2 linked regions of the Caenorhabditis elegans genome follow. The protein of the gene in region 1 purifies or fractionates together with the protein of each later gene. This does not show direct contact. Each region holds a gene or a part of one and is shown in the gene's direction. Other genes may lie near its edges. The genes, in order: sre-29 and shc-1.

Region 1 (3,923 bases):
TTTGGCAATATGCCGGTTTGCCGATTTGCCGGAAATTTTTATTTTTGGTAAAATGCCGGTTTGCCGATTTGCCGGAAATTTTCATTTTCGACAAATTGCCGGTTTGCCGATTTGCCGGAAATTTTCATTTTCGGCAAATCATCGGTTTGCCGATTTGCCGGAAACTTTCATTTTCGGCAAATCGCCGGTTTGCCGATTTGCCGGAAATTTTCATTTTCGACAAATTGACGGTTTGCCGATTTGCCGGAAATTTTCATTTTCGGCAAATCACCGGTTTGCCGATTTGCCGGAAACTTTCATTTTCGGCAAAATGCCGGTTTGCGGATTTGCCGGAAATTTTTATTTTTGGTAAAATGCCGGTTTGCCGATTTGCCGGAAATTTTCATTTTCGACAAATTGACGGTTTGCCGATTTGCCGGAAATTTTCATTTTCGGCAAATCACCGGTTTGCCGATTTGCCGGAAACTTTCATTTTCGGCAAAATGCCGGTTTGCCGATTTGCCGGAAATTTTTATTTTTGGCAATATGCCGGTTTGCGGATTTGCCGGAAATTTTTATTTTTGGTAAAATGCCGGTTTGCCGATTTGCCGGAAATTTTCATTTTCGACAAATTGACGGTTTGCCGATTTGCCGGAAATTTTCATTTTCGGCAAATCACCGGTTTGCCGATTTGCCGGAAACTTTCATTTTCGGCAAAATGCCGGTTTGCCGATTTGCCGGAAATTTTTATTTTTGGCAATATGCCGGTTTGCCGATTTGCCGGAAATTTTTATTTTTGGTAAAATGCCGGTTTGCCGATTTGCCGGAAATTTTCATTTTCGACAAATTGCCGGTTTGCCGATTTGCCGGAAATTTTCATTTTCGGCAAATCATCGGTTTGCCGATTTGCCGGAAACTTTCATTTTCGGCAAATCGCCGGTTTGCCGATTTGCCGGAAATTTTTGTTTCCGGCAAATTGCCGGTTTGCCGATTTGCCGGAAATTTTTATTTTTGGCAATATGCCGGTTTGCCGATTTGCCGGAAATTCGCATTTTCGGCAAATCACCGGTTTGCCGGTTTGCCGGAAAAAAATTTGCCGCCCACCCCTGATTTGAGGGTACCGTTTACCTCTGCCTACTATGTTTACCTATGCCTACTATCAAAATTGAACCAGCGAACGTGAAAATCTAGTAGCCGGGGCATGTAGGCATGAGGTAGGCGTGTAGACCTGAAGAGGTGCCTACTAAACAAAATAGTCATATTTAGACCTCAATTAAGAAGCTTAAAATTGATTCTTTAGAAAAACTCACAAAAAGGCAAGAAACTTCCTCGATTTTTTCATTTGAAGTGCAGTTATTTAGGGTCAGAACAGTGGCGGCTCCGTGAGCAAGGTTGAAGAGGAATATGCAAAATATCAAGTATTTAGCATGTTTCAAGGTCTGAGTAAAATGCTGACTGGAGAATGCTGAACACTATAACACCAATTGCTTCAAAAAATGACAACTGCTTGCTCTAATGTGCTCACACTGCCGAGGACACAGAGCACACGTTTTTGAAATCAAAAGTTTGAAAAAGCTTTGTAAAGCTCAAAATTCGTAAGAAAAATATTTTTGCTAGGTAGAAAAAAATCTCATTCCAAATAATAAACAATTTTGAGACACCAACCATTAAATGGGCGGTGCTTCGGAGACTTAGTGGGAAATTTTTTTAAAAATTATTCATTTCATAGTTATTGGCTTCAAAACTTTCCAGGTTCTGTTCGTCGTTCTACAAATGACCAATAAACACAACTCACAGCTTTTTGTTCTCGGAAACTCACAAATTGCCGTGTGCTTTGTGCGTTTTAAGTATATGCCGTGTCTTAAAGAAATTTAGGTTCAGGAAAACAAAAAAGTTCAGCGCAGGTGATCTGCGATATTGGCTAGCTATTATATACTCAAAAAAGTGTGAGTTTTACTTTAAAAAAATGCTCATAAAAATCAATTCAAACGATATCTGGTTACCTATACATTTCTACGATGAAACTTTCAATTTTCAACTGGTATTATCAATCGTCGAGTTGTTTTCTTACCTTATATGTGCCTATATTCTAACTTTAAACATTTATATAATTCTGAAAATTAAGATGTTTCACCGCAATTTGTATATTCTGGCGATTCCTTTATTTGGGATTTGGTTTGAGCTTATAATTGGAAAATTGATTACTATAGCTTATCGGTTGAAAATTTTGAATCCAGGATTTGAACTCGGCGTGCATATTGAAATTTGGACCAGTGACCCAACGCGGAAGCTAAAAGTTGAATCAGTAAATGGTCTGGAATTATTGATTTTTGGGGGTTTTCTGCAATGGCACTACATGTTTACTATCATATTTGGAGTTCTTGCAATTGCGGTGGAGAGGGTGGTTGCGTCGGTTTTGATAGAGTTAGTACATATTGTTAAAGGGAAATTTATTTAAATTTGAAATTCTTATTTGAATTTTTTTTCAAACTAAAAAAATTTTTTTTTAATTGGTACAAATCTCAAGTTTGGAATTTCAATTTAAATTCAAAACTTTAATTTAAATTTTGAGAAAAAAATTTTAATATATAAAATTTCCAGTTTTCTGATTTTGTAACGAAAAAATCGAAATTTTTAAAAACAATTGAACTTGAAATTTAGCGTTTTTTAAATAAAAATTCACCTAACCAAAAAAATTGTGACCAAACTCGAAATTTAAGTATTCAAAAACCTTCGATAATAAAATTAAAACTAAAACTTTCAAACAAACTTTTTTTTAATTTAAAAATAATGAATTTTCCAAATTTTTCGATTGTTTTATAGGGAAATTTTAACATTCAAAATTTAAATTTAAAAAGCTTTTTGACTCCAAATTTACACTTTTAACTTAAAAAAATTAGCATAAAATTTCCTCAGAAAATATCTCAGAAAAATTAAAATATTAATGCATAATTTTTGAACAAATTTAGCCGCAAAATTACATTTAAAATTGCGCGAAATTCGAATTCGATCTTTTTAATTTTTTCCAAAATATTTTCCTTCAGAAACTACGAATCCAACACTCAACTTTTTATTCCTCTATTTCTAACAGTTATCTCTCAATTTTTATCAATATCCACATCTCTTGCCCTACTCTTTCAAAAAGTTGGGCCATTTCTAGCCCAGCTTCCTTGGATTATTTGTTGCCCATTTTCTGCAATGGTATAATATTTTTATTTTTATCAAATTTTCAAAAATTCCAGGCATATTTCTTTGTGAAAAAGTGCAATGAATCTTTTGAACGAGAGATTAGAAATCCAAGGAGACGCAGGCATTTTTCGGTTTCCCAGCAATTTCAGGTCAAGGAGAATTTAAGAGCGTTATATGTGAGTTTTGGGGGCACACAACATGCGTAAAAATCAAACAAAAAGGCGATAAAAAAACCTGGCAAATTGGGTAAAACGGGCAAATAAAACTTCAAGTTGGGGTAATTTTCCGGCAAATTGTGGGCAATTTTGGACATCTTGAACCTAAAATTTGCAGCTTGGAACCCGGCTTGTCTTTGTCGTTTTATCATGCATTGCTCTATGTGGAATCGGAATTACTGCACTATTTTATGACCTAATCCCCCCATTTTGCTGTCATTTTGTGGAGAACTTCCTGTTTTTGTAAGTTGGGAAATTGCAATAAAAAAACTTTTTTTTTTCTCTTCCTCTTCCTCTCTTCCTCTTCCTATATTAAATATGGAAATTGCAACCTTTGAAAAATAAAAAAAATAAGGGCACGTTCTGTGACCAATCCTGTAACGCTACTTTGAGCGCTTATATCTTGGCTCAGAGTTGAAGCTTTTGCGTGCACTTTGTTCCATTAGCTCACAAAACCATGTCCCAGTATGGTCATCACAAAGGGGTGTGCTTCTGGAACAGTGGCGATGCTCTTTTGCGCGGGTTTTTGGGCATATAGCT
Region 2 (3,923 bases), on another chromosome or scaffold:
TAACATGTATCTTAGGAACTAATTTTTATTTCAATTTATTTATTCGAATCGCAGAAATTTCCGGCAATTTTGGCTATTGCCGATATTACAGAAACTAAATTTGCAAAAGTTATCAGTTATCGGTAATTCTAAGCCTAAGCTTAAACCTAAAACTAAGCCTAAGCTTAAGCCTAATCCTGAGCCTAAGCCTAAACCTAGTAAATAATTTTACCTCTAGTTTCACTATGTATCATTTCAATTCAATAACATGCAAAAAAGTAAATGGACAAACTCCACTAAATTCAGAAAACCTTTGCTTCTGGTAAATACTCTTTAGGCAGCAGGTGATTTTAATTGTCTATAGGTGTTATAACTCCACAATAAATTCTTTTAACAAGTTATTATATATTTTTATTTCCAGCTCCCACTATGAATGTTGACTTTAAAGACCCTGTATGGCTAATCAATAGTTACAATTTTGTTGGTATTTTTTCTATATCAATAAATACGGCGACTATTTTTTTTGATTATTTTCAAAAGCGAGAAGATGGAGAGTATGAAGTATCATATTCTGGCGTTTCAGGTGATCTCCTTTAAATGTGGAGTATCGAAATCTGGAAAATATTTTTAATTGACTCCAAATTTTCCGCTGATTCCGAATCTCGATGTGAAAAAAATCAAAAATTCAAAAAAATCTGATAGATTTGGATTCTAGATTTTTTAAAAATATTATAGATGAGTTTTTGGGACAGGAAAGTAAATTTAAGCCGCGCTAGAGAGGTTTTTGTGTCGAGTTCCAATTTTCACAGGTATATGTAGGCGCAAAAAAACAAAAATAAAAATTATGGAATTCCGGAAGAATTGAAGTAAATTTAAGCCGCGCTAGAGAGGTTTTTGTGTCGAGTTCCAATTTTCACAGGTATATGTAGGCGCAAAAAAACAAAAATAAAAATTATGGAATTCCGGAAGAATTGAAGTAAATTTAAGCCGCGCTAGAGAGGTTTTTGTGTCGAGTTCCAATTTTCACAGGTATATGTAGGCGCAAAAAAACAAAAATAAAAATTATGGAATTCCAGAAGAATTGAACTCATCCCACCCCTCCCACTCCCACTCCCCAGTCGAAGCAGTTACCGACTGATCCAGGGAGGATGAGGGAAGCCTAGCTCCTCGGTGTGTGTGACTTTTCCGACCTAGATTTACAAATTAAAATCAAAACGGTTCACGGAAAAAAGTAATGACTGTTGAAAAACTGCTTATTTTATTGCATTTGTTCAATTTATTAAATTTTCCAATTTCCCGGTTGCCAAAAAATCAATAAAATTCAATTTTCAGAAAACCAATAAAATTATATTTCTCATCAAAATTCAAATTTCTATGACGTCGCCAGAATTAAATTTCTAGGTCACCGGTGACGTCTTCAGGCATAGTTTAAGTTTTCTAGGCCACCAGTGGCGTCATTTATTTCCCCAGGTATAATTTGAAACTTCTAGGCCACCGGTCACATCATTAATTTGTCTTCCACGGTCAAAATATTTCTCTTCCAGAACTAAAATAAGATTTCTAGTCCACCAATGACGTCATATCTTCTCCAAAAAAGCTATCAAGGTTTCCTAGACCATTAGTGACGTAATAAGTAGGCAATGATATTTCTAGGCCACGGCCCCCCCCCCCCCCCTCTGATCAAAAAACAAAGTTATGAGTCAACTTAACTTATTAGAATGCTGACTCACCCAGTCAACACCAATCTAATCTTTCCCTGTCTCCTCCCTACCACTGCCTGCGCCTCTCCGTCTCGCGCGCTCTCTCTCCCACTCCGCTCACCGCCTGCGTCTCCGTTTCTCTCCCGGTCATTCCTCATTCACTCAATCTTGCAAAATTTCGGTTGTAACGAATTTCGAGTTAGATTTTTTCTAAAAATAATCAAAAATTCCGTCGAAAAATCAACTTGCGGCGATGCTCAACGTGGAGCCCTCATTTGCAGAGGAGCTGCGGAGCAGCGGGGTTTCTCTGTCGGCTACTGTGAGTTTTTTATTAGTTTTTTCCCCGAAAATATAAAATTGTCTTTCAGTACCTCGGAAGTGTTCCAGTAGTCGAGTCAATTAACGTGATGGTTTCCGAGATGAGAGTTCAAGTTGTTTCGTTAGTTTTTCTTATGGCTTAAAATCAAAAAAAAATCTTATTCAAAAATTTAGAAATCAGGCGGTAGGCAGGCATGAAGGCAGGTAACATCTGCAAGCTCAAATATATAAAAAATCTACGTAATAAAGTAACTGTTCAATTTTCAGAGAATGTATACAACACGTTGCAGCTACTGTTGGCGTGACTGCGGCTCGAGAAATCAATCCAGTTGTTAGTAGGGTGAGTTTTTTTTTGTGAATTAAAAAAACAAAAGAAAATAAAATAAAAAACTTGCCATTTTCTGGGCATGGCTAATGGTAAAAATTTACAAAACATTTTCTCATTAATTTGATATTAAGTGTTACCAAAAATGCATGACCAGCTTTGCAAAATGTTTAAAAAAAAGGACCCGTGAAATGTCGGCCGCGCTACGATATCATCAAGAATTATTTCAAATTAACAAGCTGTCCAAATTAATGACTAAAAAATTATAGCAACCGACATCTCACAGGTTATTAGAGAAAGGTTACATGGTGCATCGACTGGAAATATCTGACTCAACTTTGACTACTTATATCTCTGCTGGTTTTGGTTTTTTTTTGAAAAAGTGTCAATTGACAAAATATTTATCGTTTTTTCTACTACAACTTTGCATTTTAACACTTTTTGATAGCAGCGAAATAAACTGAGATAATTACATGGTGCATCGACATGCTCAAATTTTGATAGCTTATATATCCAGTAAAATTCAGCCAAAAGCCTGCCACTATAGAATGTACTAAAGCAACCGACATCTTACAGGTCGATCAAAAATCGCGCTAAATGATGTCAGCCGCTATTCATAGAAAAGTTATTATCACTAATTTCGACTAAAATTATTGCAGCCGACACTTCACGGGTCGATGAAAAAGCCCAGGTAAACCATCCTTATTTTCAGGTAATCGGTGAAGTGAAAAAAGAAAACTTCCCCGTAGACATCAACATTTCCTCGAAAATGATCAAAATCATAAAACAAAGTCGTCTAATTCAACGTCATCCCTTCTCATTCTTCTCATTCGGAGCCCAAGGCCAAAAGGGTACGGACACGGAGCTAATGTTCGGCTACATTGCAAAAAACAAGGATGGAACGGATCGTCGATGCCACGTGGTGTTCATCGAGGATGTGCACAAGCTCATCGACGTCCTTACCACTGCGATCAATGTGAACACTTTTGATGCACAGGCGAATGCTTCAACTTCTAACGATGGATTTACGGTGCCGGCGCCGCCGATGAGACATCGAAGTTCCCTGCATCGACAGTCATTTGTGTCGAATTGCCGAGCACCTACTGTAACTGAGGATGTTGTGGGGAAAGTTTGGTATCATGGAAATTTATCCAGAGAGGATGCACAGGCTTTGTTGAAGACGGAAGGCGATTTTTTGGTTCGGTAAGGTTTTTTAGATTTTTTATAGAAAAAAGCTAGAATTTTGCTGAATTTCTAAAACGTTTGGCTTCATGCTCACTAGGTTCACACCAGGGGCGCGTGGGAATCGGAAATTTTCGGCAATTGCCAAAATTCCAACTGAATGCCGACATTTTCGGCAATTTTCAAACCTAATTATAATTCGAAAATTGAAAAAAAAGTTAACTGTGTTTTCAGTATTCGATTAGTCATTTTTAAAAGCAAACGGTCAATACTTAAAAAATTAAAAAATGTTTAGGCTCCTAAATCTACAAAAAAATATCAAATCTATATTTTCGGCAATTCGGGCAAAATTTGATTTTCGAAGAAAAAGGCTAATGTTTTAATAATTGGCAATTTTTTGGTAAAACCTGAGATAAGTA

What was found.
Region 2: the proteins of sre-29 (region 1) and shc-1 fractionate together in Caenorhabditis elegans (co-fractionation; one large-scale study listed by BioGRID). This does not show direct contact.

What each region holds. Positions count from the first base shown.
Region 1 is NC_003280.10:12,399,914-12,403,836, reverse strand, and holds the start of sre-29 (Serpentine receptor class epsilon-29), read left to right. Parts: upstream 1-1,945; coding exon 1,946-2,403; intron 2,404-3,023; coding exon 3,024-3,180; intron 3,181-3,221; coding exon 3,222-3,344; intron 3,345-3,501; coding exon 3,502-3,626; intron 3,627-3,923.
Region 2 is NC_003279.8:971,062-974,984, reverse strand, and holds the start of shc-1 (SHC-transforming protein homolog 1), read left to right. Parts: upstream 1-1,851; 5' UTR 1,852-1,932; coding exon 1,933-1,998; intron 1,999-2,047; coding exon 2,048-2,118; exon of another isoform or gene 2,119-2,264; coding exon 2,265-2,337; intron 2,338-2,898; exon of another isoform or gene 2,899-3,034; coding exon 3,035-3,525; intron 3,526-3,923. UniProt on the Caenorhabditis elegans protein: Scaffold protein which plays an important role in the activation of the JNK pathway composed of mlk-1, mek-1 and kgb-1; by bringing together mek-1 and mlk-1, promotes mlk-1-mediated phosphorylation and activation of mek-1 which in turn phosphorylates kgb-1.